4 linked regions of the Notamacropus eugenii genome follow. The protein of the gene in region 4 purifies or fractionates together with the protein of the main gene of each other region. This does not show direct contact. Links are inferred from orthologs where the notes say so. Each region holds a gene or a part of one and is shown on either strand. Other genes may lie near its edges. The genes, in order: HIC1, CHD3, BCL11A and MTA1.

Region 1 (8,086 bases), on a different chromosome or scaffold from region 4:
GGGGCGGGGCAGGGTCGGGGTCTCCTTTGGTTGAAGCTATTATCAAAAATAGAAATCTCCCTTTCCCACCCCCACCCCCCACCCCCCACTCCATTCCCGGGCCTCCCCCCCTGCCCGGGCCAAGGCACAAAGCGGTTCCGCCCGGTGTGGCCTCGGGGCCGGCCGGGGAGGGGCGGGGGTTAGCGTGGGGTGGGGGCCGCCTCGGTTGCTCGTTGCCGTTGCCGCTGTCCCTCCCGGGGCGGGAACTTCCCTCCATCGCCCCCGTTTCCCACCCCACCCGGCGAGGGGGGATGCGGTGCAGTCCCCGCTCGGGGCTGGGGTGAAGGGATTTCTAAGTAGGGGAGAAGCGGTCAATGGTCCGGCCGTCGGGTCCCCCCGCTAGGTGCGCGCTCTGGCTCAGCACCTCGGCCGCCTTGTCCGGGCTCAGCCCCAGCTGCTCGGCCGTGAACTTGGCCAGCGGGTAGAGGCTCTCGAGCGCCGCTTTGGGGTCGTGCAGGAAGTGCGTGGTCTGGGCCAGCAGCTCGGCCGCCGCCGCCGCCTTGTCTTGTTGTTTGAGGCCCAGCTGCTCCGCCGTGAGCCGGGCCACAGCGAACACGCCCTCGGGGAAGTCGAGCTTGGCTTTCCCGTCGGGGCCCGCCAGCGGCCCGGCCGGCCCGCCGCCCGCGCCCACGGCGTGCATCTTCATGTGGCTGATGAGGTTGCGTTGCTGCGCGAACTTGCCCCCGCACACCTGGCACTCGTAAGGCTTCTCCCCCGAGTGGATGCGCATGTGCTCCGTGAGCCGGTACTGGCGCGTGAAGCGCATGCCGCACGCGTCGCAGGCGAAGGGCTTGAGGCCCAGGTGGCTGCGCATGTGGCGGGTCATGGTCCCGCGCTGCGTGAACTTCTTGCCGCAGATGGTGCAGGGGTAGGGCCGCGTCAGCCAGTGCGTCTTCTCGTGCTGCCGAAGGGTGGCCGGGTCCTTGTAGCTCTTGTCGCACGAAGCGCAGCGGTAGGGCCTCAGCAGCTCGCCCAGGCCCCCCGGGCCCCCGGCCCCCTTGTCCCCGCCGCCGCCGCCGAAGGGGGGACCCAGGCCCGCCGCGCCCACGGCAGCCGCTTCGGCCGCCTCCGCCCTCCCGTAGAGCGCCTCCTCCTCCACGTGCGCCTCGACGTGCGCATTGAGCTGCTCGGAGCTGGGGAAGCCCTTGTCGCACGGGATGCACACGTAGCGGTTGTCGCCGAAACTCTCGGGCTCCCCGTAGGTCAGATGAGGGCAGTGGTAGCTGGCGAGGTGGCCCCCGCCCGGGCTCGGCTCCTCGCTGCTGCCTGTTTCCTCGCTGCTGCTCTTGTAGTCGTCCGCGTCGGGCCCGGCTCCGTCCAGGCCCACCCCCGGGTAACGGGGCGGCGGCAGGGGCAACGGAGGGCCCCCAGGCGAGTCCCCCTCGTCTGCGGGTTCTTCAGCCCCGCCGGGGGAGCCGCGGTCTCGCACGAGCTCATCGCCGTAGCTGCCCAGGCCGGGCTCGGCCTTCATCCAGCGGTAGATCAGCGCAGGCCCATCGGGTCGGCCCGGGGGCTCAGGCCCGGGACTGCCACCCGGCCGGAAGGGGTCGAGAGGCGGCCCGGCCTCCTCCATCTTCTGGAAGGGCAGGGGCAGCGGCAGCGGCAAAGGCAGGGGCAACGAGAGCGGCGGCTCCTTGTAGACTGCCCCAGGTGGGCTGCTGTCGTGGCGCGAAGGTGCCTCGCGCTCACGCTCTCGCTCCCCGGGGTGCGGCCGCTCGGGGGCAGCCGCTGGACCCGGGGGGCTCTTCTTGGACAGGTCTAGGCCGCAGAGAGGGGAGCAGCGGCGCTCTGGGGCGCAGAGCGACGGCGGCGGCGGCGGTGGCGGCGGCGGCTGAGGGGGCGCAGGGCCCGAGGCGTAGAGCTCAGCACAGTGGGTATTGACAGGCGCCTCGGCTCCTGGAGGCAGCTCCGCGGCCGAGGCCTGCGGCGCCGGAGGTCCAGAAGGCGCGCCACCCGGGTAGCAGGCCTGGATGACTGGCGTAGTGGCACGCAGGCCCCGGCCAGGCCTCACGTAGGGCGCGTAGCCGCCGCTGCCGCCGCCCCCGCGCAGGTGACAGTACTTGCCGTGTCGTTTGAGCCGCTTTTTGCACAGGGATACGAGGTCTGGGATCTGCAGGTAGCTGGCGGCGGCCAGTACTGCTCCCAGACTGGGCTCGGCCCCAGGCGCCGCCGCCGCCGCCGCTCCATCCGCGCCGTCGGCCAGGCGGCCGGTATAGATGAAGTCCAAGACTAAGCGAAAGACAGCGGGGCTGACCATGTCATGGTCCAGGTTGAGCAAGTTGTCGTGGACCACCAGGGACTTGAGGTAGGCGCTGCTGGCCGCCAGCACGTTCTTGTGAGCCCTGAAGAGCGCGTTCTGCACCACGATGATCACGTCGCAAAGGAACCCTTTGGTGCGTTGGCTGTTGAGCTGCAGCAGCAGCTGTCTGGAGTGTCCCGGCGCCTCCATTGCGTCCAGCATCATCTGCCCTGTGCTCCCACCTGTGGGGACACACGCGACACGACAGGACACGACACAACATACGCACACACACACACACACACACACACAAGCACAGACAAGGTCAGAGCGGATGCTTAAGGGGTCTCTCTCCACCCCACTCCGCTCGCGTAGCTTGAGTGAGCGCCCCCCCTTCTACACCGCCTGCCTCAGACGGGGGACACGGGAGTTGCCCTGCTTGGCCCCCATCTGATGACCTGGGTCACCTGAGCCCGAGAGACAGCATGACCTAGACCCCAGCAGGAGGGAGGGGACCAGAGAAGCAGGGAATGAGCTCGTCCCCACTCCCTGGGGCAGTCTTCTTGGTAGAAGAGTCCAGTGGAGAAAGGGACTGAGTGCCTAAGGCCAAGGCCCCACTACAGAAGTCGGGGGCCGGGCAGGGATGGCAAACGGGGAGTTTCCAAAAATAAATCCACTTAAGAGGGGATAATTTCCGCTTCGGAAGGAGTTACCCGATTTCAGGGAAATATCCGCTTCAGAAAAAGTCATTCAGTCCAGAGGGGAGTGTCTCATTGGGGGCAAAATTAGCCGATCGAGATGAAATTCGTAATTTCGCAAAAGTCCGGGTTTGGGAAAAGTTAGCGGGTTAGTGGGGAAATGCTGTGGGTGGTGGCATCGGCATAGGCATCGGCATCGGCATCGGCTTCGGCGGCAGCCAGTGGGTCGGGGGCCAGGCTCGGGCCGAGGCTGTTAGAGGCTCCTCCACGCCGGGCCGGGCCGGGCCGGACCGGGACCCGGGCCGAGAGGGAAGCAGCTACCGCTGCCAGGGCCGGGGCCGAAGGGGAGCGGCTGCCGCTGCCACCGGCAGAGCGCGAAGGGCCCGGGCCGCCTGCGGGGAGGGCGTTATATCGGGGCAGGAGGCTGCAGCAGGAAGCAGGTGGGGGGGAGGGGGGAGCCACGCAGCTCCCGGGGGAGGGAGGGGGCAGCGCCCCGGGCACGGCGCGGACCCAGCGGCCCTGACCCCGCGCGGATCGCCTCGGCGCCCCGCCCGCCGGCCGGCCCGCTCCGTCCCGGGAGGCCCCCGAGCTCGCTCCGGAGCCCCTGGGCTGCTCCGCCCGGCCAGCCTGCCCAGGGACAAGAACTTGGGAAAAGTTTCTCAACTTGGGATGGGCCGGGAGCCGGAGTCAGGCTAGCGGGCCCCTCCCGGCGCGCCTCGGCCCTTCGCATCCCTCGCCCAGCCCCGGGTTCCAGCCCGTCCCGTCCCGTCCCCGACTCCACTGGCGGCGCCGCCTTCCCCGAGCCGCCTCGGCCCGTTACCTGCGGCCCCCGCTCCCGCCGGCCGGCCGGCCGGACTCCGCGCTCGCTCCTCGATCGCTCGCTCCGGGCCGCCCCGCCCTCCCTCCGGCCGCCCCTCTGCCAGGCGCCGGGCCGTGCCAGGCCAGCGGCCCGCTGCCAGCTCCGCCCGCCCCCCCCCCCCGCCCATGTGCGGGCAGAGCCCGGGCCCCGAGCCGCTGACCCCCTGGTGAACTCGGCGCGGCGGGCGGCCCGGGAGAGGATGCGCCGCGCTCCCCCCGGAACCCCGAGGCAGCGCCGCGGAACGAGGCAGCCCTGGCCCCGGGCTCCCAGCCCCGGCCCCGGGCTCCCAGCCCCGTCTCCAGCCCCGACCCCGAGCCTGCAGTCCCATCTCGGCGCCTGGCCCCGGGACCCACCTGGGGGGCATGTCGGAAGCCCCGAGCCCGGCTGCCGGCTGATCCAGGTGGAGAGGTGGCCGCGCTCCGCTCCGTCCGCCGGTCCCCCGGCCGGTACGTCCTCCCGCCCGTCCGTCCTCCCCGCGTCCCGGCCGCGTCTCAGCCCCGCCGCCTGCTCCGCACACTCTTATCTGGAGTGGCCCGGGCCAGTCTGGGCTCCTGGGGGATGGCGCCACCTGGCGGCCTCGAGCGAGCACTGCAACCTCGGAGCCGGGAGGCCCCGCGCACCTGGGCCCTGGGGCGCGCAGGTGCGCCCCCTCGTTTCCCCACGCCTCTCGCAGCTGTGTCTCTGGAGGGCTCCACCCCCACCGACCCCGCCTCGCGGGACAGATGCCGCCCCAGGCCCCGCGTAGCGTGAGGAGTCAGGGATGGGGGAAAGTTGGGATGCGCCCCATCCCTACCCTCGCACACGCGCCCTTACACACACACACGCGCACACACACACTGACACACCCTAGCCTCAGTTCCCAAGGGGGTGTCTCAGGCAGGATTGGGGAGGTGAGTCTAAAAGAGACCCCCAATCAAAGCGTGTCCAGGACTGTGGACATTGCCAAAGAGATTGAGGATCTGGCTTCAAACTGAACGATCCGCAACTAATTTTGTGACCTCGGTCAAGTCACTTCCTCTTCTCTTGGCCCTAGTTTACTCCTCTGTAAAATGTGGAAATTGGCCTAAACGAGGTTTGAGGGTTTTGCTGGCTCTGGAAACTTTTTGTATTTCATTCAATTCTACTCTGCAGTCGAATACACAAAGACCATCACACTGTGTGGAATGTGCAATAGCCCCCACCTCGGGGATCCGCGTACGCACGTCTGAGCACCCGGCACCCAGGCTTTCCTACAGACTGGACGCTCCCTCACGCCCGCACAATGCTTCTCACGCGCACTCGCTGCCGCCGTCGCCTCATACTCATCCTCCTCTTCCTCCTCCCTACTCATCTCACAACTTCAACGGGTGCTAGAGATACTACGTCTCAGAGACCAGGCAACAGACTGAGCCTCTACTGATGTCCCTTAGGTGGAGTGGCTTGTTGGGGGAGAGGTGGGGAATGGACAATGTTTACACTAAGGGTCCAGGCGCAGGGTATGTGGTGTGTGTGTATGTGTGTGTGTGTGTGTGTGTGTGTTGTGTGTGTGGACAGACACGCTTCAAACCTGCGCTTTACAAGGGAGATACTCTCCTCCCCAAGGTGCGCTTGACTCCTTTGGGACAGTCTCCTCCCCTTTCCTCCTGCAACAGCCCTGGATTCCCCAGCTGGAAGACGACTGTGCCAAGAACGATCATGCCTCCTGTGGAGGCGAGGCGAGGGTACTTTGGAGCAGCAAGCAGCCCAGGGTATACAAGGGTCTTTTACACGTAGACAGAGAGCCCAGCCCTAAAATCTCCGTGTGCCCCTTCTAGACAGCCCAGTCACCCCTAGCCTAACCCTCCTGCTCATCACAACAGAAGAAGCTGCATTATACTACCCATTACTGCGGAGAGGGGGGAACTGTGCCCCCTCTCACTTCGCCTATATGTTGGGGTAGCGGGGTCCCCATGTTGGGCATTCGGCGTCCAAAGCCTCTGATCGGCTCCACCGTCCCCCATCTTCTCCTCCCTTACAGTGGAGAGGGTTGTGGGGGGCGGAGATGATGGCGGCGGTGCGAAACGTTGCCATAGTAACCGATGAGGTTTGTACAGATCTCTTTCCTCCAAGGCCTTAGGGAACCTGGCAACCGGGCCGGGGGCTGCGGTGGACAGGAGGCGGGGCGCCCTTCGTGTTCTCCCGCCTCCAGTTCTGTCCTCAGCTGGTGGCCCCACTGGGAGGTCGGAGCTGAGTCACCCTGCGGTGGGCATAGGCGGGTATCATGAAGTTAGTCCTCGGGCGTGGAGACAAGTTCCCCTGGAACCTCTGGTGCTCGGGCACCGGACAGAGCCTCAGGGCTCTTCTCTGGATCCCTTCCAACCAGGTGACTGGTTCTCACTCTGCCCTGAGCTTTTCCCCAAGCCCAGAGCCTGGAGGGTCTCAGTGCTGTGGAGGGACTACCTAACAGCAAGAGCTGTCTTCAAGGAACCCTGGTCCACCCGGAGGCCCGGAACTTTTTTATCCCCCGTTAATTTTCTAAGTTCCAAGTGCTACCGCCTTTAGTGCCCCTAGAGCAGACACCAAGGTCTTCGGCGCCCTCCAGAGGTGCTTCCAGTTCTCTGCGGATTCACCTCCGGGCTGGTTTTTGACAACTCCCCATCCCGCCCCCTTGTTGCTCAGACCAATCTCCCCGTTTGAGACGCCCGTCTGGATTAGGAAGAGTACCACTATCCCCATTCAAGGTCTGGGCTTTGGGGTCCCAAATTTTTGTCTCCACTGTCCCATCTCCATGCCTTGTCTTTCCTACATCTCTACCCCGTCTCTCCACCCCTCTCTTCCCAGGCTCTTCTTATCACTCCTTCCCAGTCTCCACTTCTCTCCTGGATCTCCATGCCTCTCTTCTCTATCTCCCTAGTCCCTGTCTCCATCTCTTCTTTAAATCCAGCATCCCTTTCATGGCTATCTCCATCATCTTTACCCTTTCTCCATCCTATCTCCATCCACCTTTTTTCCTATCTTTTGATCTTACTCTATCCAAATCCAAGTCCTCATCCTCTACGCCCTTCTTCAACTACCATCTACTCTTTTACTTCTCTCCATCCCCTTCTTTCCTGTCTCCATCCTTTTTCTGGTTCACTATCTGCATTTCCCTCTGCCTTATTTCCATTTTCCTGCCTTCCAGTGTTTCCATCCTCATTCATTGTCCCTATCCCTCATCCTACATCCATTTCCTCTGATCCTCTCTGTTTTTCCCTATTCCCCTCTCTACTTACCTCTCTTCATTCCACAAGCCCTTAATCTCTGCCTCTCCCCTTACTCCCCAAATCCCCCCCCCAAGATTCTAGTCTTATGGATCCAGGACTTCTTAGGGCCTTCTTAATATTCCAAGCAGCATTTAATACTGCTCTCTCTCCTCTCCCCAATTCCCGGGCTCTATCCTTCCCAATATCTCCTAATTCTCTAACATCTACCATTTCTCTTTAAGACCTCCTTTGCCTTCCACCCCACTTCCATGCTTTGATCAATTCCCTACTTGATTCTCTCCCTTTTCCCTCTCCAGGAGGGCATCATCTCTGCTCTTTCAAGTTTCTCTTTCATTTGAGGGGATGGGGTGCAAAGCAGAGAAAGATTATGCTCCTTGCAGAGGAATCCCTTTTCAGCCAGGCCTGCTTGCTCCATCAACCTTCTTGCCCAAGTCGGAACCATCACCCTTCCCCCACACCTGTTTTCTTCATGTGGTCATTATCCCTTTCCATTCCTATCTGCCCCTCCTAATTCTGACTCTCCCTCTGAGATGACCACATTAACCAATCTGGCCAAGAAACCAGACCCATAGCTCTGCCCTCAATAAAAAAGGTCATTTTCAACCCATCTCTCTTCGTCCTCCTCCCCTTCCTATTTCTCTTACAGAATCTTTTTTCTTCTAGTCTGAACTAATCTCATCCATTGCAATGGCTCCATTTCACCCATGAAACTTCCCTAACTAGATGAGAAATAGGCACAGGCTTAAAGAACATTCTCCTCCTTGCCTTACCTTTACCATGCCTCCCCCACCATTGGATGAGCACAGATGTCTGCATTTGCATGAATCTCTTACACTCCTAGGCAATGAATGGCAAAGAACAAGGTGCTGGTCCTACACCTCACCCACAATCCTTTGCATCATCTACCTTTCACCCTTCACCCCACCCACCCCAGGCCTCACTTTAAAGTCTTCTTTCTCCTGACTCTACCTAGCTAGTGGCTCAGCCAAAGAGGGACAGGGCTTCCTCCCCCAGCTCCCACATCCCCATG
Region 2 (7,331 bases), on a different chromosome or scaffold from region 4:
ACCTACATGGAAAGAGAGGAGAAAACTGTGGAAAGATTGATCTGGAAAACAGAGAAGTACAGACTATAAGAAACCAAATAGAATGGCTGTCAGCGGCAAGCAAACACCGAGAAAGTAAGACAGACAGATGGACTGACATAAAAGACAGGCAAAGTGACAATCAGCCACACAGAAAGACTATAAGGGAAAAGCATAATGGAAATGAGAGTTGCAGGAAAACTAAACAAGACAGGCAGTAAGATGGGCAGGCAGAGACAAACAACAGAGGTAGCAGGTAAGCAGAGAGATTTAAAGACTGAGAGACAGAGGCAGGCAGTCAGAAGCAGAGGCAAACCAAAAGGCAAATGAGTAAATAGACTAAACAGAAGAAAGCAGAGAGAAAGAGAGGCAGGTGAGCAGACAGGTGGGCAGAGAAAGTGACAGACAGAGTCAAGGACATCAGAAATGATACACCAAAGGAAAGGCAGACAGACAGATGGAGAAGGCAGATGCAAAGAGGCAGCAGGAAGAGGGCAAGCAGATGGGGGTGGGTAGAGGGATAGGCAGAGGACTGAAACAGAAATAGGGGACATGGAGTGGATGAGGGAGACAGGCAGGGGCTGAGGATACTGACAGGAAAGGTAGGAAGAAAGGAAAGACAGACACTCAGACAGGCTAAAGAGAAGCAGATAAATGGAAAAAGCAGATAAAACGGGGAGGAAGAAGCAGGCAGATGCTAAGAGAACACACAGACCAAAAGGCAAGCCTGAAAGGTACAGAGGACCTTTCAGAAAAGTAAAGCAAAGGAGAGGAAAATAGACAAGCAGAGAGAGATGTTTGCTGACTAAAAAAAAAATCTAATGGGGAAGGCTGGTAAAAAAAAGAAGACTGAGAATTACAAGAAATAGGTAGTCAGACAGATTAAGAGATGCAGGCAAGCAGACAGTAGCTAAATGAGGGCAGGGAACAGACAGTGGGATGCTAGCAGGCAGGTGGGGTGACAGAATGAGAGAGAGAGGCTGACAGACAATAGACACAGACAGACACAGATTGACAATAAGAGTTTATCAAGCAGAAAGACACAGAAGCAAGTAGATAGGCAAGGCAGAAAAGAGACCAAGAGATGCAGGCCAGGAGGCAGACAAGACAGCCAGAGAGAGGAAGGCAGACATGATAATAGCAGCAAACAGGAAAGAAAGTAGGCACGCAAATAGAATAGAAAGGCAAAAATCAAAAAGACCAGGAAGCAGGCCTGTTGGTGGAAGGGAAGAAACAAGTAAAAGAACAGAGAAGGAAGCCTAACTCACAGACATATACTCACAGAAGTGCTCCCACAGAAACACCCTGAGACACATACTCTTAAGCACCCATATCCAGAGATCCTGACATTTAACCCCAGACGCACAGGCACAAGTAAACATACATGAACATACTTAAAACCAGATGCACACATGCAAAGGCAAAGGAGACAGAATATAGTATACACACATGCTCTTATGCACACTATGACCCATAAGCACATAAAGACTGATATACACAGCCAGAACAAAATGATAAACAGATAGTGAGTCCAAGAATCACTGAAAGATGACAGTTGAAGAGTTACTGAGACAAGAGACAGCATGAGAGACAGCCCATGAATGAAACAGAAACAAAGGGACAAGCCCACACAGAGAGACAAAAAATGAGGGAAACTCCTTACACAGAGAAAAAAGTAAGAAACATATATTTTACACAGATATACAAAACTAAACAGAAACAGAGAGCTTGAGACGTAGAAATAAAACCAAGAGGCCAGGATGGAGAGTTGGGCTGAGGCTAGCAGAGAAGGAGACAAAAGATATTGAAACCCAGATTAAGAAAAAAAGGGAAACTGAGGCCCATAAAGTGAAGGACAGAGCCCTAAAATGACAAATTCTTGGCCCTCAAGAAAAATTATGCAAAAGTTCATCCTAGTACCTGTGGGAACATTTTTTTATGTGCATCTAAAGAGAAGTTGCAGTTGTCTGAGCTGGAAGGTTATGTCTATAGTATGAAGTAAGAGACTCATGATTCTAGGCATGTTTCAGGAAAAGATGCAGAAAACAGAACCGATAAGGAAGGGGCAAAATGAGGTCTGTGGGAAAGAAGAGAATCACGACTGGAAAGGGGTGACAAGCTCAGAGCTGAAGTAATCACTAGTCCCATCCCTTTCTCTACACCCCCATAATGGCAGTACCTCTGTCAGCAAACCTTTTAGGGGAAGTACTTCTCTTCTTTATTGATATCCCAGGTACAGAGATACTTGGTGCTTCCTCCTACCTGAGTGCAGGGCTCCCTTCCTACCCCAACTGACAAGCTCTCTTGAAATTTAACTTAGCTTCCTTGTTTGATTCACTTAGGTAGCCCCTAAAAGAGAGGTTTCTCCTGACCCCTTTCCAATTTCCCCCATCAGTATCTCATTCCTATTTTAAGAGGCCGTTTAGGTTGAAGAACTGGATGAGACAATCAGATACAAAGGTCTGATTGCATCCTCTTCTCTTTCATTTTTTCTTCACCTTAGCTAATTTCCTCTCACCTACTGTACTTCAATTTCTTCCACTTTGATGGAACTGAAAATGGGGGTGAATGAAAGAAAAAGGAGTCTGTATTGGAGAGGAGCAAATAAATTTTTTTTCTTTTTCAGATCTTGGTGCTCCCCATCCACAGCAAAATCCATTCTCTGTACCAAGATTTCATAGTAAGTTTATCTGGGAGAAAAGGAAAATGAAATGAAAATATAATTTAAAACAATTGTAAATTACTGAAATGATTTCAATAAAGAATAATCAAACATAAAACTCAGATTGAATGAAAAAACTCAGATTGCTTTCCATTCTCCACCCCCAAAGGGTTTCTATCATTAAAAAAGAAAAAAAAATCTTATAAAATACGTAAAGTTAAATGCATTTCAACTTTAACAAGGTATATGTATACGTATATATATGTATTTGGCCAGATTTATATATAAATATATGTATTTCATCTTTTTCCTTGACAATGCCTGAAGGGAGAAAAAAAAAACCCTTCACATCAAACCACTCCCTTTCTGAAGTACTTAAGGAAAAAAAGCTTTTCTTTTGAGGAGGGAGGTGGAGAGAGAAGAGACTAGTATAGAAAAGAAAATTTTAAAATCTAGTTGGACTAGTATCTAACTAGTTAACCTTTAACAATTTATGCTGATGTCAGACTGAGCATGAGTACTGATTAATGCCCCCCCAAATATTTTTATAGGTGTGTGTTGGGGGGGGAGGTTAGTCAGCAGCCATTTTTGTTTTATGCAGAAATCCTTCATGTTTCTTCCCCCCCTTCAATACACAAGGAAAATATCTATTAATCTGTTTACTAATCAGCTATGAAAAAAGGGAGACTTTTGTGGGTTTCTGGGTAGAGAAGGTTTTAGAGATGAGAAGGGGGGAACTGGAAGCATTTCTGTTGGTGGGGGTGTTAGGGGATGGGGGCTGAAAAATGAAATATTAAGCCAGCCATTTTGTTTTAAAAGCAGATTTTTTTTTTCCTCTCTCTTTCTTCTTGGAGGGGGTGGCGGTGCTGGAGGGGGGGTTGTTTTAAAAATAATTTCAGGGCGGCCATCTTAGTGCTTCAGCTCTAGGAAATATTTCTCAGCGCCCCCCTCAGAATTTCAATATATTTAAAACAACGAAGAGGGGAGTAAGGGGGGGAAGAGCAGAAAAACTTTTATTCATATAATATATATATTTACCCCCCTTTCTCTCTCTTTTGGTCTCCCAGGGAAGGGGAGGAGAAAGTCCCCCCCCTTTAATTTTTCTCAATAGTAAATTGTTTTTGGGAGGCGGTTTCGCCCCCTCCTTAGACAGAAGGGTGGGGGTAGGGGGTGGCCCGGGGGTTTGGGGGGCTGGGGGAGGAGGTGAGTTGGAGGAGGAGGACGACGACGACGAGGAGGAGGAGGAGGAGGAGGAGGAGGAGGAGGAGGAGGTGGTGGTGGTGGTGGTGGTGGTGGTGGTAGTGGTGGGGGAGGCAGGCGGGCGGTGGGTGGGGGGGTGGTGGGGGGGCCAGAGCTACAGGATGGCTTCCCCTCTGAGGGACGAGGAGGAGGAGGAGGAGGAGATGGTAGTGTCTGAGGAGGAAGAAGAGGAGGAGGAAGAAGAGGGCGAAGAGGAGGTGGAGGCGGCGGATGAGGACGACGAAGAGGAGGACGACGAGGGAGTAGTCGGACGCGGGCCGCCGGGGCACGAGCGGGGCCGCGGCCGCCACAGTCCCCCCAGCTGCCACCTCTTCCCGCCGCCGCCCCCGCCCCCGCCGCCCCCGCCGCCCCCGCCCCCACCGCCAGGTAAAGACGCGAGCGGAGGACACCCGCCGAACTCCCCCCCCTACTCCTGATCGCCGCCAGCCCAAAGTTCCGAAACCGTTGGGCGCGAGAGGGGGCTGGGGGGGTGTCGGGCAGGCGCGCGCGGAGGAGCAGGGGGTGGGGGTGGAGAGGAGGGCAGGGGAGGGAGCGCGAAAGGCACCCACCGCGCGGACGGAGAGGAGTCGAGTCCGGGGGCGCGCGGACGACGGAGCAGCCGGCCCGCCTGCTTGGCTGCCCCCCCACTCCCTCCCTCCCCGCCCGCCCGGGCCTGAGGCCGGGAAGCTTTCCGGGCCGGTGGGCCGACCTGCTGGCCGAGCGGGCCTCGCCTCCCCTCCCCCCGGCCAGCCCCCTCCCCCCGCTCTGGGGGGAGCCTCCGGCCGCGGCCGCGGCGGAACGCCGGGCGCCAGCTGAGCGGGCGCGCGGACGGAGGAGCCAACTCTTGGTCGCAGCCGGAGGGGGAGGGGAGGGCTGGTGGTGTGTGTAGGTTTGTTTCCCCCTCTTTTCTTCCTCCCTTCCTTTCTCTTCTTCGGGGGATTAGGAGCGATCGAACCCGAGACGACCCCCCCCACTCCCGCCGCGCATTCGGGCCCCGCTTGAGCTCCAGACGTCCCCCCCCTCGGCTGGCGGGGGAGGGGGAGGCGGCGGCGGAGAGTGGCGACGGTGGCTGTGGTTCGGAGAGTTCAAGCCCGTTTGGGGTTTGGCTAAATGTAAAATTAGATGGTGTCCGTATGCGTTTGTGGGGGTCGGCGTGGGGCTTGGAACGGGGGAGGGGTCCCCCCGACCACCCGAGCGCTTGTGTCCGTGAGGGCGCAGGGTGGCGGGGGGACTTTGGACACTCGCCACTGACTGGCCCGTACAGCCCCTCTCCCAAGATCTTGGAAGTGGGGGTGGGCTGGGTGCCTTGAGGGGAAACCAGATACACCCACCGACAACTCCACCTCTTTTGATTCCTTCCCTTTCCCTCCTCCTTGTGATGGTAGGCCCCTCTCTAGCTAAAGGGTGTGTATTCACCCCGGGACTCCCCCCTTCTACTCTGTGAGCCATTGACCCTCTTTTGTCCTTGAGTGACCCCACTGCTGTGGTCCTGGGGCCCCAGGGGTTGTGACTTCCCTGCTTGCCCCCATCACAGTCACCTCTGTGAGAGGATGACTGAGGGATGTGGAACACCTCACCTCCTGTGGTGTTTGTTACTAGAAGTCCCTCACTCCCCTCCCCAGTTTTCTCACACGGGCAGCTTTAGTAACTGTAGCCACTGCTTCGAGGTAACAGTTGCCTCATCAGAGACTCAGTAGCCACCCCATCTCAGACAGCCTTGTGTGGCTAGTTCCAGAACGTAATGTCAGCTTTACATGTAGAAAATGACAGATGGGACACTTTGATCCCTGTGCCTGGGAGCAGACTTCAGTAGCCTTATAGATTTAAAGTTGGAATGGAACTTAGAGGTTATGGAGTCCAGTCCCTTCATTTTAAATACGAGGAAACTGAGTCAAAGAGAGGCTAAATGACTTGACCAAAGTCACACGAGTTGCAAAGAGGTCTAGCTGGGATTCTGACTCGAAATCAAGTCCTCTTAACTACACCATGCTGCCTTACTTGTGTTTGTTTTCCAGCCCCTATTGATGAAATATGCCCAATGTTCTTAATACTGAAATACAGATTAGCGCCATGTATGGCAGATGTGCCTGTATATACTTCAGCTGAACAACAAAAGACGTGTGGGGGTGGGGGGGAGACGAATAGGAAGGAAGAGGGTCCAAAAGGGAGAGAGGAAAGGAGTGTCTTAGTGAACATGAAATAATTCATTATTTTCCCCCAAGGTCTTCGAAATAGGAAATAAGTAGAAAAAATTACCTTGTGGGGAACACGTTTTTTTAAAGTGCAAATGGGAGAATTTGGGAGACAGGTGTCAAATTCAATTAAACATTTATTCAGCACCTACAGTATATTTGCAAAGTGAGAAAGGAAAGAAAGGAGGAAAGATGGGATTAGGGGATGGATTCTTTCCTTGTCTGCTGAGTTCTCAGGTTAGATAATCCTCTTTGGTCATTTTCAAAACTAGGCTAATAAAAGAGGGGAGAGCTGGGAAAGAAAGCAAGAAAGAAACCGTCAGAGGTTGAGGTGTGTCTTTGTTTGGCTCCCTTTGCTCCCTTCTTCTGAAGCCTATTTACCTAATAAATAAGCAGATGTTTGAAGATAATAAATTGTTTCATTTTGGATTTGGAATTAAAAATAAACATTATTCCCTTCTATTTAAGGCAGTTTTGCCTCTGCCTAACCCTTCAGATTTGCGTGAGTGAAACATCCTTGTTGGGTAATTTATTGATGTAAAAAAAACTTTTGGGGAAATATATTTTAGCTCCCCTTCCTTTTTTGTCACCCCAGGTATGAGGAAGGCAAACACCAATCCTAAGAAGTTTGACCCATGTACTTAACTCTCTCCTTCTGGCCCAAACTCCCAAGTGGAATATGAATTTGTAGATTCTGTAGCTCTGTATTGTTTTTCAACCCTGACTGATTTTCCCTCATCCCCATTTTGTTTCACATTCTTAACTGAGTCCAACTTTACCTCTTTCTCCTCCCACCAACCTCTGTACATTGTTCAGTATTTCAAATCCAAAGACTCCTGTGGGGGGAGGGGAAAGAAGGGAGCCAAAACTCAATTTCTTTCCCCTCCCCCTTCTGGCAAGTATAAAGAAATAATATAATATTTAGATGTGATTGCTTAGGGAGGGGAGGGGGGTAGAATATGGGTGGTGTGGAAAATTCTAGTAGTTTCTTCGCAAAAGGCCTGAAAATAAAAACCCACCCTCTCCTTGCAATACGCATGTGCAGGGGCCCTATTATGGTGGTTCGTTGTGGGGGGAGGGAAGGGAATTTGAGAAAAAATAAATATATGTGTGTGAGAGATTGATGGTGAGATAGAAAGGAAAGGGGAGGGCAGGCCTTTTCTGAGGCTCCTCCTCCTTTTTCTAGCTTGCCAGCCCCCTCAGGGACCAGAGCCAGGGAA
Region 3 (8,101 bases), about 320 Mb from region 4:
GTTAGGGGGAGAGAAAGAACCTGGACCTGCTGCTGCTTTTTCTCCCTTTCGGTCTGGTTTGGTGAGCTTGGGTCCTGTATCTGTTTGTTGGCAGGAGGCTCCCGCACACGCGGTGCTTGTAAACATTCAGACACGAGATTTTTCCCAATCAAAATCCACTTCCACTTTTTTTGAAAATCTTCCAAAAAATAGTAAGAGGAGGGAATTCCTCGCTCCCTCTCTGTGCAGCCTACAGACTAAGTTTGTAAGAGAAGGGGTTTGGGGGGTTGTGGTCTGATCCGGTTTTTAGTTTGATTTTTTTTCCCCTTGTGCTCAGTGCGTGCGAATTTTCTCCTCTTTTTTGGAGGGGGGAGAGGGAGAGCGGACGGCAACGCTGGAAAATCTCGGTTCAGAGTAGATCTACTGAGGTTTTTAGCTTCTCTGTTTGGGGACAGGAAAAATAAAAATCGTCTTGCATTTTGCCAAGCTCGTTTTGTGTCTTTTGCGGGGCGAGGAGCGGAGGGGGCGGGGAAGGGGAAGGGGCACGTTCCTTGGCCCTGGAGAAAGAAAGCCAGCAAAGAGCTAAGCCAGCACGAGCTGCGGCTGCAGAGGCGGCAGAGGCAGCGGCAGCGGCAGCAACCCAAGCCAACCGAGTCCAGGCAGCAGCCACATCTCCCCCACCCTCCCTTCCCCCAGCCCACCCCCACCCCCTTGCCCCTGCTGCCCTTTAGCGGCAGCGGCGGCGGCTGAGGAGGAGGAGGACGGCGACGACGAGGAGGACGAGGAGGAGGAGGAGGAGGAGGAGGGAGGAATAGAAGGAGGGAGGGAGCGAGGCACAAAAGACAGCGGGACAGACACCCACCTCGGAGCGGAAACAAAAGGAGGCAACGACCGGCCACTTTTACCCGCACGTTGCAAACGCAAACCCTTCGTCTCCCTCTCACCCCCTCTCTCCTCCACCTCTTTCTTTTTCTCAACAAGGCTTCTGGGGAGGAGGGGAGGGGGGACGTCCCCCCTCCCTAAAAGTCCCACTTTTCCATTCATTAGCATTATTGTGATTACTTTCTCTCTGGTCCACACTTGACCATGGGAGCCGGCGTCCGATGTCCAGTCTCACCTCTTTCTTCCCAGGATTTTTTTTAAGCCTTTGACTTTTTTTTTCTTTCCGGCGGTTGGAGAAAGAAATCCCTCTCCCCTTCTCCTGTTCCCCGGGGTTGTCTGGGAGTTACTCTCATTATTATCATTAATTATTTTGCAAAAGGGGGGAGGGAGGAGAAATCCTAGTGTTTCTTTTCGCAAAGAGGAATAAAGAAAAAGAAGGCGAAAAGAGAGAGGAGGGAAGGAAAATAACGAAAAGAGAGGTGCACGCTTCTCCAAAAGTGCAAGCACGGTTGCGGTTTGAGGTGCTGTGGGTTTCCCCCTTTTAATTTCTTTACACCTCACTTAAATGTTGTCTTTTCTCCCCTTCTCAAAAATAAAATGAAACGCATGCACACGCACCCTTTCTTTCCCATCTTCTCTTTGGCACTCCCGACCCTATCATCATCATCCTCATTATCATCATCATCATCATTATTATTATTTATTATTATTGGGTTACTTACGCGAGAATTCCCGTTTGCTTAAGTGCTGGGGCTTGCCTTGCTTGCGGCGAGACATGGTGGGTTGTGGAGTAGGAGGCGGCGGCGGCGGCGGCTGGTGAACTACAGCTCGGTTCACATCGGGAGAGCCGGGTTAGAAAGAAGGAGACTCCAGAGAAAATATCTTCATCAGTGCCTTTTGACATCCAAAATAAATTAGAAATAATACAAAGATGGCGCAGGGAAGATGAATTGTGGGAGAGCCGTCATGGCTTTTTTTTTGGGCAAAAAAAAAAGAGAGAGAGAGAGAGGAGAGATAGAGGGAGAGAGAGAGGGAGAGAGAGAGGGAGAGAGAGAGAGAGATGAAAAAAATGGCAAAAGCCCCCCTGAGCTGCAAGTTCAAGTGCGGACGTGACGTCCCTGCGAACTTGAACGTCAGGAGCCTGGATGGACAGAGACATACAAAACATGGGCAGGGCGAGCAGGAGAGAAGGGGAGGAGGGAAGGGGAGGCTAACACCAATGGACACACATCAGGGGCTGGACATGAAAAAGAGACCAGGACAAGCCAATGGACAGTGCTGGGAGGGGGAGGTGGAGGGGGGGGCTCTCCAGACGCCAGACACAAGCTGCCTAATGGGGGGGTGGGAAGGGAGGAGGTAGTGCTGAGAGGGGGGCAGGGGAGGCGCGGGGGCATGGAGCTCACAAGTGGCCGCAGCCGAGTACAGGAGGAGACGGCATGGCCAGGAGGAAAGAAAAGAAAGGGGGAGGGGGAAGGGAGAGGTGTGTGTTTGGGGGGGAGGGGAAAGTCCTCCCCTCTCTCCTCCACCCTCTAAAAAGAAAGGTTAAAACAGGAGACAGAAGTGCTTAAATAATACGCCAAAGGTGTACGTAGAAAGGGATGAAGACAAACGACAGAGGAGCAAAAGAAGGCGGGGGCGGGGGGGCCGCCGACCAGGTAGAGTTGCTGTAGGACACCCCCCCTCCTTACACACACCCACGTCCCCCCTCCCCAGCTAGCCTCACACACAGCCCCGCGTGCATGCATCCTGGAGCAGAAGTGAAAGCCGATATCAATCTGCACTTCTGAAACTTTTTTCTCCCCCCCCCAAAAAAAAACAGCACGAAAAGAAAAACCAGAAGTTTATAACTGAACTCTGAAGTTACTACCCAAGGAGAAAAGCCCCGAGGTTGGGGAGGGGGTGTTGCGGAGAGTGGTAAAGAATTAATTGCAAAAGAAGTTTGTGTACCGTAGCAGCCAGAAAGGCAGAGGCTCTCAGGAGCCTCGGGCTCCCAGGTTGGGGAGAGAGGAAAGGAGAAATTCTGCGTGTAAAGGAGAGAGGAAGGACTAGGAGATCCTAGAGGTTTGGGGGAGCGACCAGAGAGGGAGATGGGGGGAAAGGGGGAGCCCAAGCTCCAACTCGGCATCTCCCTACTTACCCCCATCCCCCTGCACCCCAAAGGCAGGCAGAATAGGTGGCTAAGGAAGCCTGAGTGCCAAGAGAAGGGACAATGTCAATGAAACTGCAAAGCACGGATCTGAGGAAAGCGAGGTGCTGCGGCCCGGAAAGGAAGAGAGAGAGAAGGGTAAATAAATAAATAAAGACAGGAACACAACTCTGAGACTCAGCGCCGTTACTGACAAGAGTGGGGAAGAGTCCAGGAGAGCAAAATCGTTCAGGAAGGAGCGATAAGCAGCTTGGAGGCGGGAGATGCAGCGGTAACGGCACTAGCTTCGGCCGCGCCGAAACTTACCCTTTAATACTGAGCACCCATGGCCAAGAGAGCAGCCCGCGAGTTGCAAGGTTGTAAGGTACCAGCTGGGGGGGTGGGGGGTGGGGGGAAGGAGGAAAGAAGCGGGGGAAGGGGGGGGGGCTTTGTATGTGTGTGCGTGTGGGTGCCAACTACTCCCCCAAAAAGATTGCCTTTATTTTTTTTTAAATGAAGGATAACCCATCGAGACAAACTAGAAGCAGAGGGGAAACCGATCTGTTGTTGGGATGGACTGGGAGAGAAGAAAAGGACGTCTTCCTCACTCAAAAACTGGGAGTGGGGGAGAGGAAGGAAGGAGGGAGAAACACTCGGAGAATGAATGAATCAATGAATGAATGAATGTAGCTGGAGAAAAGAGAAGCTACACCGTGACTCTAAGAAATATTTTAACACGCAAAGCTGTATTAATGACATTACCCAGGGAGAGGAAAAGAGAAAGGGGAAGAAAACGGGTAATAGGAATCTCACAGTTTGCTCACAAAAGCAGCAGGGAAGAAAAGAAAAGTGGTTGCCAACCTTGCTGGAACTTAGCCCCCTTCCCACAAGCATGCATTCCTCCCTCCCCCCACCGCACCCCGAAAGCACACGGCTCAGATAGCTTTCCTTTCTCCTTTTTAATTTTTTTTTCCCTTGATGAAACTTAGAAATTAGGAGAGACTTGTTGGAAATGAACCCCTGTCTCTTTAATGCTCGTGACCGCGAGCTCGCACACACATACGCACACACAAACACACACACACACACACACACACACACACTCATAGGCTGCTGCTGCCGCCGCCACCGCTGTCAAAAAGCGTGCTTCTCTCTGGCGTGGGATACTTTCAGTTTTACGTAAAATGTACAGCAACAGCACCCCCTACGATTGGAAAGTTTATTCTGAAACGTGCCTGCAAAGTCGTCTCACCTCTGCTCTCCCTAGCTGTGGCACCCAGCCGCCAGACTTTCTTCTGTTCCTCCCCCCACCCCCCAAAAAATGGGAAGTGGGAGGGGGAACAGAAGAGGAAGGAATGGAGTGAAGCCACGGTGAGACCTAGGACCAGACTTGAGTGAGGAGTTTAGGAGAAGGGGGGAGCCGACTGAAGGGAAAGCTGGAAGGGGAGGGAGGTGTGCCCCCTGAATGAATGAGGAGCTGTTTCCTCTCCTTCCCTCAAGGCTCACAGCACAGCCCCTATTTTCTTCTAGCCATTATATTCCCAATCCGGGGGGGCGGGGGCAGATGGGCCCTGTAAAGTGAAATGCTTGGTGGACTTTTTTTGGAAACCTTACCTAAATCTGGTGCTTCTCCAGCTTCAACCACCCCCTGGCTGAGCTGCTCGCCCGCGCGCGCGCGCACACACACGCACACACAGACACAGACACAGACACACACACTGTGCACGCACGCGCGCGCATCTGTACCTTTCAGTCTTGTAGGCTTGCATGCTGCTGTTTAAACGGGTTGTCATCTTCCTAAAGTTTTAAACCGATTCAAAATGACTGGCTTCTCATTCCAAGGAGGCTTCGTGCAGCCTCTGAGAGAAGAAAAGGTTTTTGATGTTCAGGAATAGGAGAGTTGTGGAAAGGAAGGAGTGGGGGGATTGTCTGTGTGCGGTTTGTTGTGCGTGCACGTGTGTGTATGTGTGTGTGCGTGTGTATTTTCCTGTTCTCTGAGAGAGAAAAAACCCTCAAATCCTGTTAAGAATCAGGAAGGAATCATTTGCAGTAAAGCTCTGTAGCACGTACCTGACATGATTTTCCTCTTTTTCATGGGCTCTTCAGAGCAGGTCAGCATCTATCTTACACTACTATCTATTTTTGTCTTGTTCTTTATAAAAACAGCCTTTGAGCTACCAAATGAATGTCATTGCTTGAGTGAGGGGTGGCGGAAAAGGGGGAATGCATTGGGGGAAAAGAAGGTTGGGGGAGTGGAGTGCAACGGAGTGTTCCTTTTCAAAAAATGCACTAAACACAATAAAAGGCATTTTAGGTAACAAAAGCAAACTGTCTCATTCTTTTAGAACCCAGGATTTTCATATTTGATTATTGTACCATCTATCCATAAAAGTCCATATATACAGGAGGCAGATAAGTAGATGTCTGTGTGTCGTGAAAATATATATATATATGATTTATCTATAATGGCGTATATAAAGCTTTTCAGGGCTGGATGTAGTGTAAAAAGTAATGACTTTATTACCTCTGAAAGGTTCTGTGGTTCACATTTAACAGTCTTCTGAATTACAATTCATTACACAATTGTGCGCTCTCTAAAGCCAGCACATATCAGGGCATCTATCTGTGGTTATTTCCAATAAATAACTGGCAACATTTTATTGATTTTCTTTAAAAAAAATCATAGGAAATTAAGCACTTAGTTACAAGTAGGTCTGCTTTATTACTGCACTTGTTTGAGATTCCAGGGGGTTACTTCCTAAACCACATCTTAAAACATACATTAAAAAGCCAATTTTTTGCAGCTGCTTTTCGTGTGTGTCAGTGGAGAGGGAACCAGTAACGTTTCCACCATTAACATATATTTAATTTTACCATCATAAAATGCCCGGAATTAAATGGAAACTCTCCCCTCCCTCCCCTTAAAGCCATATTTCATGCCGTCTGGATTATTAACATGACTGTATTGGCATCTGATCCATACTCCACGAGTACTGCCTTCTTCTTTACCATCCCCGCTGCCTCCTCCCCCACTTCACCTGAAGTTCACTTAACCTTCCAAGGGTGGGGCTGGGGGGGGGAATTTGGGGGGGGGGCTTTTTTAAAAAGGTCTTTTAAGAGTTTGTTTTTTTTTAATGTAAGCCTAGATGAATGATGCAGGTGTTTTGTGGAGGGGGGGTTGAAAGAGAAGCTTAACGAGCACACTTGGATATACAATGAGTATATTTACCGTTCTTGAAGTGGCTTTTGGAGAGTAATAAATTATGACAATATTAAAATTATTTTCTGGCAGTCCAGTTAACTACGTTTAGGGTTGTAAAGCCTTTGCTGATTCCATTTATGTTGTAATTATGGTCCGTGGGCTCTTTCTAAACCTTTGGTGTATACTGTGTATAAACTCTTTGCTAATAGCTCCTTCCCTCCCCCCCCCCCCCCCAATGGGGGAGACTTTTCCCAGGACTTCCTGCAGTATATATTCTGCCTCTGATCTCCGTATTTAATAGCCAAGTTCTGGTTTATGCTTTATAATGTGTTGACAAGTTTTCTAACAGACTTTCTGAAATAATGCACATATATTCACGTCGGTTAGAAACTCCATCGTATTTTTAGAGCTGAGTAGATCTATACCCTAATGCAGTGGGAGAGCGTAAATCATAGAGGATTTCATAGTCCTTTCAGTAGTTTTCTGTATGAAGTATGAGCATCGTGGCCTCCAGACGTAACCTTTTAGAAAAAAAGACAGTGCTTTTATTTTATGGTGTAAAGTGCTTTTAGCTTCAGGGCTCAGAACGTGAATGTGGTCAACAAACAGCTCCTGAAAGTGAGCTTAATACAGTTCCCTGGTCCTAGTGGGGAGGATTGCCTGGCGCTGGGGACTTGAGCTCAGCTGGAGGCGAAAGAGTTAAAAGATCTGTCTCGATGGAAATTACAAGGCTAAAATAAAATATTCATTGCCTGACTTTAGTGGGGTGGGGTGGGGGGACTTTTATTGACTAAAAAATAAATACATACTTTGAAACAATCAGTCCCTGCCTCTCTCCCCTCCCCCATTCTTCACCTCCAATATCTGAGAGATAACAGGACTTGCAATGATCTTTTAAAAGATGCCTCTTTATTCTACCTTGGGAACACTTTTGGGGGTTACTGGAAGAGTTTGTGTATAGGGTTTTGGGAGGATAGAGAAGAGAAGGGGTGGAGTTATTAATATAAGGGCAAATGAAATTTAAGTGGGGGGGCTAAATGGATAGGGGCTGGGACAAGGTAGAAAGAACACCGTCTTCTTGAAAGGAATTGAAATGTGACAAAGGAAAACCACAGAGTGCGGCAGCTCTCCCTTGCTACTTTTCTCAAGATCTACCCTTGTTCAACTATGTACTTTGTTACCTTCTCCCCCAGATTGTGCCTAGGAGCCTGCAGTTCTAATTGTCATTATTTAGGACACTGAGAGGGGTTTACAGAAGGTAGGCTGCATATGAACTTAAACTGAGCAAACCAGACCTCGAGAAGACTTTCTTGTTACAACTTAACATCAGATCCTCTCTCCCTAGCTTTTCCTAGGTCTTTAAAGGACTGTGCAGATCACAAAAATGAGTGGAAATGTTAAATAGCAGAGGGAAAGACTGACTGAGCTTGAATCGTGTCCTCAAACTGTCCCCTAATTCATGTTGGGGGTGCGGGGAGAAGGTATAGGAGATGTATAAGAAAACACAATCTTGTCCATATAACTTCAGTACACCTCAGTACACCAGCAACATAATCAGTTTCTAATACATTTTTGTTTTTATTTGCATTGGGTTCCCAATTCTCTTGTCAGGACTCTAGGAACATGAGTTTTGCTTTTTTTTGTTTGTGTGTTGATTTGGTTTGGTTTGGTTTTTTATGCATTTGTTACTTCTGTGTGACTGTGGCCAAGTCACCTTACTTTCTCAGTAAAATGAAATACTAATGGAAATACCTACCTTGCTTTGTTCTAATTAAAGGACACACTGGAAAGCCCTCTAAAAACAGTAAAGTGTTATTCACATATAAAGGATCATTATCATTTAGAGATTAGCATTTATTCTTAAATACTGAACCTAACTAAGCTACCGAAATTTTATATAGGAAGCAATGTCA
Region 4 (7,849 bases):
GCAGAGCAGTCAGACAAGCAGAGGGGAACCAAGAGACTGGAGTGTCACAAAAAGCTTAAAGACAGAATACCCAGGGGGAAAGGGTGATAAGCAGTGTCAACAGGCGGGTTGAGAAGAATTAAGACTGAGAAAAAACATCAAAAATTGGACAATTAAGAAGTCACAGATACGGCTGTTTAACTTGAATGAGGAGGCTGGAAGGCTGATTATTAAGAGTAGAGGAAGAGGAGAAAAGAAACAAAGTGTAAATGTCAAGTGTTTTAGAAAGCTTTTCTGAGTTTGAAGTTCAAATTTCTACCCAAGTCAAAACTTGGTGAAGAAACAGAGCTGGGCAAAATAAGAACAAACTTGCTAGTACACCTTGCTATAGACACCCTCCACCTTTCCCCAAAATGTAGGCAGATGGAAGAGTTAAAAGGGCAGGCAACCTTTGAAGCCCAACCAGGATCTCTATGGCTAGCACCTCTAAACCATGCTCCTTTGGGCTTCCTTTGGAAACCCCAGGAAGCATGAAGTAAGTCAGGAAACTGGCACTGGAGGAGTATGAGTACTTTCCCCACCCCAACATTCAAGAGACCTTAGGATCTGCTATGTCCTGCTCCTACTAATGTCACTAAACAAGGCACCAGTGTCTATTTGCATCATAGTATTGTCACTCCAAAGTATTTCCAGTAATTCTGACCCAACACCTGAGCTTTTAAAGGCAAATCAAAGGGGAAGCAACTCATAAAAATTATTGCCAAAGGAAGACTACAGAAGACAAGTAGGGAAAAGGCCTATGTACATAGCAGAGTGCTGAATGAGAGAGAAGATATATATTAGCATAATCATTCTCCAAAAGTACATCATCAAAAATTTGGGACCAGTAAAAATATATCATAGGTGACAATTTAAACACCGTCTTTAAAGGTGACCCTAACTCACTACTCTTGGCAGTGACTGGAAATCTAAGCCAGAGGATTCCTTAACTTTCACAAAGTATGCTCTTTCAAGGTTACCACATCATCACCCCCATCCCTCCTCAGCAAACTACCCCTCCCCAAGCTAAAGCCACCAAGCACTATCCACTCCATCTAAACTCAACAAGATGTGCCGTTGGACCCTCATTTAGGAAGTAGCTCAGTATACTAAGTATACTTAGAAATTCTAAGTATACTTAGAAATCACTTTTAAGGAAAATCTCCAAGCTTCCAAGGTAGTCTAAATATCAGCTAAATGTTTCAGGAGTAGTTGAAATATTCTCAAATGGGCAATAAGCAATCCTAAAGTTCCCCATTAACCTAATGGGCAATCCTGTCATGCACCCTCTCTACCACAAACAAGACAAAAACGTAAGAACTCCCTCTGTTCCTCAATACACCTTCCCAGATAGACCTTACCACCCTTCCCAGCTTCACTGCAAGAAAATGATTCTAATAGAACCTATTCCTGAAAAAAAGGACACCTTTCCCTCCAAAAAAATTCCAACACCAACTGCCCCCATCACTAAAACTAAAGAATCCATTCCCTCGATGCATTTTGCTCCTACCAAAAGGTTCCCCAAAGGCCAAAATCCAAAAGAAGAGCTGTAGTAGTGCTGTCCCCATAGTAGATCCCATTCTTTTTGCTACCTAGGTCGCCCTACACCTCCCTTTCATCACAAAGTGAAACTCAGATCATCACAAAGCACCCTATACACATATTTCTAAAAACAAAAACAAAACACACACACAAACCCAGAAGCACCACTCCCCCACCACCTCCACTCCCCACCCCCCCTCCAGCCCATGCCTGCCACTTTCTTACCTTTCATATGCCAACAATTCTAGCCCCACCTTTAGCTCCGAACTTTGGCAGGTATCAAATATCCCCCATTCTGGCTCCCCGCCCCCCCAATAATATTCATAAAACTGTAAGAAAGACGAGCTCATTCCGAAAACAAGATACAGATGACCAGGGGGCATCCACAGCTTCACTCTAACCACCCGGAGTCACTCACTGACTCTCCCTCCCCCAGGCCCAACATTCTCAACAGCCAGTCCGAATGTTCGCCCCCCGGGGGGTGGGGAGATGGAGGGGCCCGGGAAGGACAGAGGCCCTCCGGATGGAGGGAGAGGTGGCTAAGATGGGAGCCGGACGGCCTGGAATGGGGGATGAGGTTCAGACCCGGCACAGGAGGCGGGATGGGGCAGCGATGGCTGGGGCCCAGGGCGGAGGGGAGGAGGATCTGGGCGCTGGCCGTGAAGGCCCGGCGGGGCCACACGGGAAAGGAGGCGAATGGAATCCAGGCCGGGCGAGCGGCCGGGGGGAGGGGAGGAGCGGGGAGCAGCAAAACCTGGGGCTGGGACGAGTGGAACGCGGGGGAGGCCCAGGGCAGGTCGGGGCTGGCCTGGCTAGAGGACGCGCTGGGTCGGGAGCCGATTCGGGCTCTGCCCGAAGCTGGGCGGGAGGCCGCGGGGCGGCAGGGGCAACGAGGAGGGGGGCTCACCTCCGACCCTGTACATGTTGGCGGCCATGTCGGGCTCCGGCTCGGGCTCCGGCTTTGGGGGCGCAGCGCGGCACACGGGGGGCTCAGAGGCCTGGCCTGGCCTGGCCTGGCCCGGGCCCGACGCTCGGGGTTCGCAGGGTGGCGCGGCGGCTCCTCCAGGTGGGGGAAATGTGCTGGAAAATGGAGGATCGATCGGCTGGGGTGGGGGCGGGGGCGGACGCTTTAAAGGGGCCGCGCTTGGTCCACCCGGCGCTGCCGCCGCCACCGCCGCCGCCCGAGGCCAATGGGGAGGGGGAGGCCCTAGAGACCCATGGGAGTGGGCTGGTCGGCTCCCGGCAGCTCCTCACCCTTCTGCTTGTCCACTCCCCACAAACTGTCCCCTTCCTCCCTCCTCAGTCTTCTTCCTGCCCCTCCCTCCTCGTCTCCCCTACCCTCTTCCCGGCCTCCCTGGCCTCTCTTCTCTCTACCGCCTCTCTCCCCTCCCTTCCCCTACCTTCCTCTCTTCTCTTCTCTCCTCCACCTCTCTCTGTGTGTCTCTCTGGGTCTCTCGCTCTCTCGCTCTCTGCCTTCTCTTTTCTCTCCTTCCTTTTCCCCCCTAAACAGGCAGGCACAAAGAAAGCAACCACAACTCCACCTACCTGGCCAAAGGCTGGGGCCTCCTGTGTGCCCCCGCCTGTGCCAAGTCTGTGGCTGGGGTCTCTCCTGCAGGCAGGAGAGCTCTACTTTCCAGGCAGAAAGGAAAGGATAGACCGAACCAGGCCAAGTGTGCATGGCCTCTCAAAATTCATTCATTCATTGGACAAAATTCTGTGTGCTGGGTGCAAGGCCCTGTGCTGGGGCTGAGGTAGACAAAGATGGAAAAAAAACAAAAAGGGCCCTGACCTCGCAGAGCTCAGCTTAATGAAGCATGAATAAGACCAGATATAATACTGTACCAAGAGAGAATCTAATCAAGGCTTTAAGAGAGGAACACATTCCCAATGCACAAAGCAGGATTCATTGTCATATTAGCAACTAATATGTCAGAGAAAGAAAGGAAAAAATAGAATCCCTTTAGCCAGCCTAATTCATTCCAAAGAGTAAGGAGGTTTAGGTTTCACCTTAAGCTTAGGTTAGTGACCACCCACTCTCCCTTTCCTCTAAGAATGATTCAGGAGGAACATTTGTTTAAGAAGGAAAATATCTTTGTAATTCATAGCTTATGACTCATGATCTTAGAGGTGAAAAGGACCTTTTTAGATGTACGATTCTCTCTGGGACAGAAACAGAAATCCCCTCTGAAATGCCCCTGGTAGGTGATGATCCTCTCAAAGACCTCTCGTTAGTGGATAAGAATTTATGAAGCTCCAATGTCAAGCACTGCAGTAAGCACTGCAAATACAAAGAAAGACCAAAAGATAGACACAGCCCTCCGAGAGCTCACAAGTTAATGTGAGAGACAACAAGCAAATGTATACAAACAAGATATATACAGGTAGGAAATAAGTAACAAATGGAAGGCACTAGAGTTAAGAGGAATTGGGAAAGGCTTCCCGTAGAAGATGGAATTTTAATGAGACTTGAAGGAAGCTAGGAAAGTCAGAGGCAGAGATGAGGAGGTAGAGAATTTCCAGGCATGGAGAACAGCTAAAGAAAATGCCTAGAGCTGAGAAATAGAGTATCTTGTTTGGAGTGTCTTGTTCATGGAAAAGCAAAAAAGCCAATATCACAAATTGAAGAGTAAGTGTAAAGTATAAGTCTAAAGTATAAGAAGACTGGGAAGGTGGGAAAAAAGGGGGTAGGTTGTGAAGGACTTTGAACACCAAATAATTTCATATTTGATCCTGGAGGTGATAGGGAAGCACTGGAGTTTTTTGAATGGGGGGTGGTGGGGAAGGGTGATATGGTTGGACCTTTACTTTAGAAAAATCACTTTTTCCTCTGAATGTAGAAAGGGCCTAAATGGGAATGCCTTTTGCCAGGCAGACCCATCAGCAGTTTATTGGAAAAGTCCAAATGTGGGGTCATGAGGGCCTGTACCTGGGTGGTGGCAATCTCAGAGAAGATAAGAGGATAAAAGGTACAATGGACAGGTCTTGGCAACAGATTGGTTATAGATTGTGAGAGACAGTAAGGAGTGGAGGATAGCTTCTAGATTGCTGCAAGCCTAAGTCACTGGGAGGATGGTAGTCATAGGGCAGTATTAGGGAACAATAATAGAGAAGAGGTATTGGGATAAGGGAAGAGTTTAGAGGGAAAGCTATGAGTTCTGTTTTGGATATGATGCATTTAAGATGTCTGCTTGACATTCAGTTTGAGATGTTTGAAAGGCATTTGAATATTCAAATATTCTAGAGGTCAGAGTTGGATACCTATCTGATGAGAGAATCATCAACATAGAGATGATAACTAAATCCACATGAGCTGATGAGACCACCAAGCGAAGTAGTATAAAGAGAGAAAAGAGGATCCAGGATGTTTCGCTATGGGAAACCTACAATTAGAGGGTATGATTTAGATAAGAGTTTCAGCAAAGAAGGCTGAGAAGGAGCAGTCAGAAAGGTAGGAGGAGAAGAACCAGGAGAAAATTGTGTCCCAAAAAACTAGAGAGAAGATAAATCAAGGAAAAGAGGGTGATTGATAGTGTCAAAGGTTTCAGAGAGGTAAAGAATATATATTTAGAAAAGATCAGTAGATTTAGCAATGAGGAGATCTCTGGTGAATATGAGATTGGAAGCCAGATTGTAGGGGATTAAGAGAAAGGTAAGAGGAGAAAAGTGAAGGCACCCATTGCAGATGATTTTCTCAATGAGTTTAGACACAAAGGGTAGGAAAATACAGGATGATATCTAGTAGGGATAGAAGGATCAAGTGAGGTCTTTTTGAAGATGATGGAGACATGAGCACATTTGTAATCAGTAGGGAAGGAACCAACTGACAAGGAAACACTGAAGATAAATGAAAGAGTAGGGATGAGAGAACTGGCAGTCTTTTGGAGAAGACAGGATGGAATGGGATTAGAGGGACACCTTTTTTTAAGACAGATGAAGGAAGATATAGTGACAGAAGGCATGTATAGAAGATGAAAGAAAGGAGAGAAATAGTTCATGATGAATGGCTTCAATTTTTTCTATAAAATATGTATCCAATGCAGTAGATAGGTCAAAAGGGATATGGATTGAAAAAAGAACATTATTGCATTCACTGGTAACTTTGGAAAGAGAATTTCAGTGTAATGATTATATCAAAAGCCAAATAATAAAGAGTTGAAAAATTAATCAATTTGAGAAATGAGAAAGTGGAGGAAAAGAGTGTAAGAGTGTGAGAAAGGAAGGAGAGATAAAGAGTATTAGTTTGAGGAGATAGAAGGGTCTAGTGAAGGTTTCTAAAGATGGAAGAGACTTGGGTACGTTTGAAAACAATAGGAAATGAACAGATAGGGGAGTTTCTTAAGATTAAAAGAGAGAAAGAGGACTGTTGAAACTGAAAAATCTTCTAGAGAAAATGAAAGGGGATGCGTCTTATAGAAAGAATTGGCCTTAACAAGGAGAAAGACCACTTTATTGTTGAAGATTAGAGAAAAAGGAAAAGAGATGATACCAAGGTTTTGGGTTTTTTTAGAAAAAGAGAAGGTTTTAATGCTGAAAGGCCTCGATTTTCTTAGAAAAGTAAGAGGTAAAGTCTTCAGCTAAGAAAGAAGGAGGAGGGAAACATATGGGAAGCTTAAGGAGAATAAGAGAACTTGACAAAGCATGTGTAGAAAGTGAAGGAATCATTTAGGGAGGAATAAAAGGATTTCCTTGCTAATGTGAGGACCTGGTTGAAGTTGTATAACAATAGTTTATAATGTACCCTCTCATGAGATAAGCTAGAAGCCTTTCCAATAAGATTAGAGGTGAAGCAACAATTCCATTATTGTTATTATTTGACATTGTACTGAAAATACTAGCTATAGCAATAAGACAAGAAAAACTGAAAGACAGGCAAAGGAGCAGGACTACAACCAAGAATCACCTAACAGGCAAAATTAAACATAATAATATTTCAAGGGAAAAAATGGTCATTCAATGAAATAGAATTTCAAACTTTTATAAGGAGAAGACCAAAATTGAACCAAAAAAATGTGATCTACAATATCAAGACCCAAGAGAAACCTAGAAAAGGGAAAAGAAAACATAAGGGATTCAATAGAACTAAACTGTTTATATATCCCTACCTTGGAAGCTGATACTTGTAATTCATAAGAATTCTGTCACTACCCATCAATTGGGGAATGGCTGAACAAATTGTGGTATATGATTATGATGGAATACTATTGTGCTGTAATAAATGATGAGCAGGATGCTCTCAGAAAAACCAGGAAAGAGTTGCATGGACTGATGTTAAGTGAAATATGCAAAGTACAAAGTAACAGCAACATTGTAAGATGATCCGCTGTGAATGACTTAGCTATTCTCAGCATTACAATAATCCAAGACAACTCTGAAGGACTTATGAGGAAAATTCTATCCATCCCCAGAGAAAGAATTGAATACAGTTCTGAATACAGATTGAAGCATTTTAAATAATATAATCAACAAGTTAAAAAAAAAAAACTCTACCACTAATAGTAAAACTAGAAGGAATATATATAGAGGGCATGGGTATGAGGTGAATTTGAGGGAATGACAAAAAAAACTAAGGGATGGGAAAGAAGAATATACTGGGTGCAGAAGGAAGGGAGAGGTAGAATGGTAAATTGATTCACTTGAAGAGGCATGAAAGACTTATTACAGTGGAAGGGAAGATGGGAGAATGGGTGATAGGGATTACTTAAACCTTACTCCCATCAGAAGTGACTCAAAGAGGGAATAATATACATAATCAGTTGAATATAGAAATCTATTTTACCCAACAGGGAAAGGGAAGTTGGGAGGAAATCAAGTAAAAGGGGGAGAGTTGGGGACCAACAGAAGTGGGGGCAGATTGGGAGAGGCATAAACAGAAACAAAACACTGGTGAGAAGGGAAAGGGTGAGATGAAAGAGTACAAACAGGAGGAAAAATAAGATGGAGGGAAATTCACAGTAATCACAACCATGAATAGGAATGGGATGAACTCCCACAAAATGGAAGCTAACAGCAGAGGGAATAAAAAAACAGAATCCTACAATATCTTGTTTAAAAAAAAAGACACTTCAAGCAAAGAGATACACACAAGGTAAAGGTAAGGGGCTGAAGCAGAATCTAGCGTGCTTCAGCCAAAGTAAAGAAAAAAAAGGCAAGTGTGGTGATTCTGATCTCAGACAAAGCAAAAGTAAAGATAGACCTAATTAAAAGAGATAAGGAAGGAAAACTACATCTTGCTAAAAGGTACCATAGATAATGAAGTAATATCAATACTAAACATGTATACATCAATTGG

The links.
Region 1: the proteins of MTA1 (region 4) and HIC1 purify together in Homo sapiens (affinity purification with western blotting; 3 studies listed by BioGRID). This does not show direct contact. The link is inferred for Notamacropus eugenii from reciprocal best matches to the Homo sapiens genes MTA1 and HIC1.
Region 2: the proteins of MTA1 (region 4) and CHD3 purify together in Homo sapiens (affinity purification with western blotting; 7 studies listed by BioGRID and IntAct, with this or other methods). This does not show direct contact. The link is inferred for Notamacropus eugenii from reciprocal best matches to the Homo sapiens genes MTA1 and CHD3.
Region 3: the proteins of MTA1 (region 4) and BCL11A purify together in Homo sapiens (affinity purification with mass spectrometry; 4 studies listed by BioGRID and IntAct, counting the BioPlex papers as one, with this or other methods). This does not show direct contact. The link is inferred for Notamacropus eugenii from reciprocal best matches to the Homo sapiens genes MTA1 and BCL11A.

What each region holds. Positions count from the first base shown.
Region 1 is NC_092873.1:40,122,006-40,130,091, reverse strand, and holds HIC1 (hypermethylated in cancer 1 protein), read right to left. Parts: upstream 3,153-8,086; 5' UTR 3,029-3,152; coding exon 2,992-3,028; intron 2,521-2,991; coding exon 332-2,520; 3' UTR 201-331; downstream 1-200. UniProt on the Homo sapiens protein: Transcriptional repressor. Recognizes and binds to the consensus sequence '5-[CG]NG[CG]GGGCA[CA]CC-3'. May act as a tumor suppressor. Involved in development of head, face, limbs and ventral body wall.
Region 2 is NC_092873.1:78,011,310-78,018,640, reverse strand, and holds the start of CHD3 (chromodomain-helicase-DNA-binding protein 3), read left to right. Parts: upstream 1-4,000; 5' UTR 4,001-4,041; coding exon 4,042-4,306; intron 4,307-5,305; exon of another isoform or gene 5,306-7,331.
Region 3 is NC_092872.1:644,360,675-644,368,775, reverse strand, and holds the start of BCL11A (B-cell lymphoma/leukemia 11A), read right to left. Parts: upstream 3,378-8,101; 5' UTR 3,314-3,377; intron 3,287-3,313; exon of another isoform or gene 1,756-3,286; 5' UTR 1,639-1,755; coding exon 1,584-1,638; intron 627-1,583; exon of another isoform or gene 1-626. UniProt on the Homo sapiens protein: Transcription factor. Associated with the BAF SWI/SNF chromatin remodeling complex. Binds to the 5'-TGACCA-3' sequence motif in regulatory regions of target genes, including a distal promoter of the HBG1 hemoglobin subunit gamma-1 gene.
Region 4 is NC_092872.1:324,142,639-324,150,487, forward strand, and holds the start of MTA1 (metastasis-associated protein MTA1), read right to left. Parts: upstream 3,039-7,849; 5' UTR 2,961-3,038; intron 2,850-2,960; exon of another isoform or gene 2,641-2,849; 5' UTR 2,496-2,640; coding exon 2,468-2,495; intron 2,291-2,467; exon of another isoform or gene 1,793-2,290; coding exon of another isoform or gene 1,786-1,792; intron 1-1,785. UniProt on the Homo sapiens protein: Transcriptional coregulator which can act as both a transcriptional corepressor and coactivator. Acts as a component of the histone deacetylase NuRD complex which participates in the remodeling of chromatin.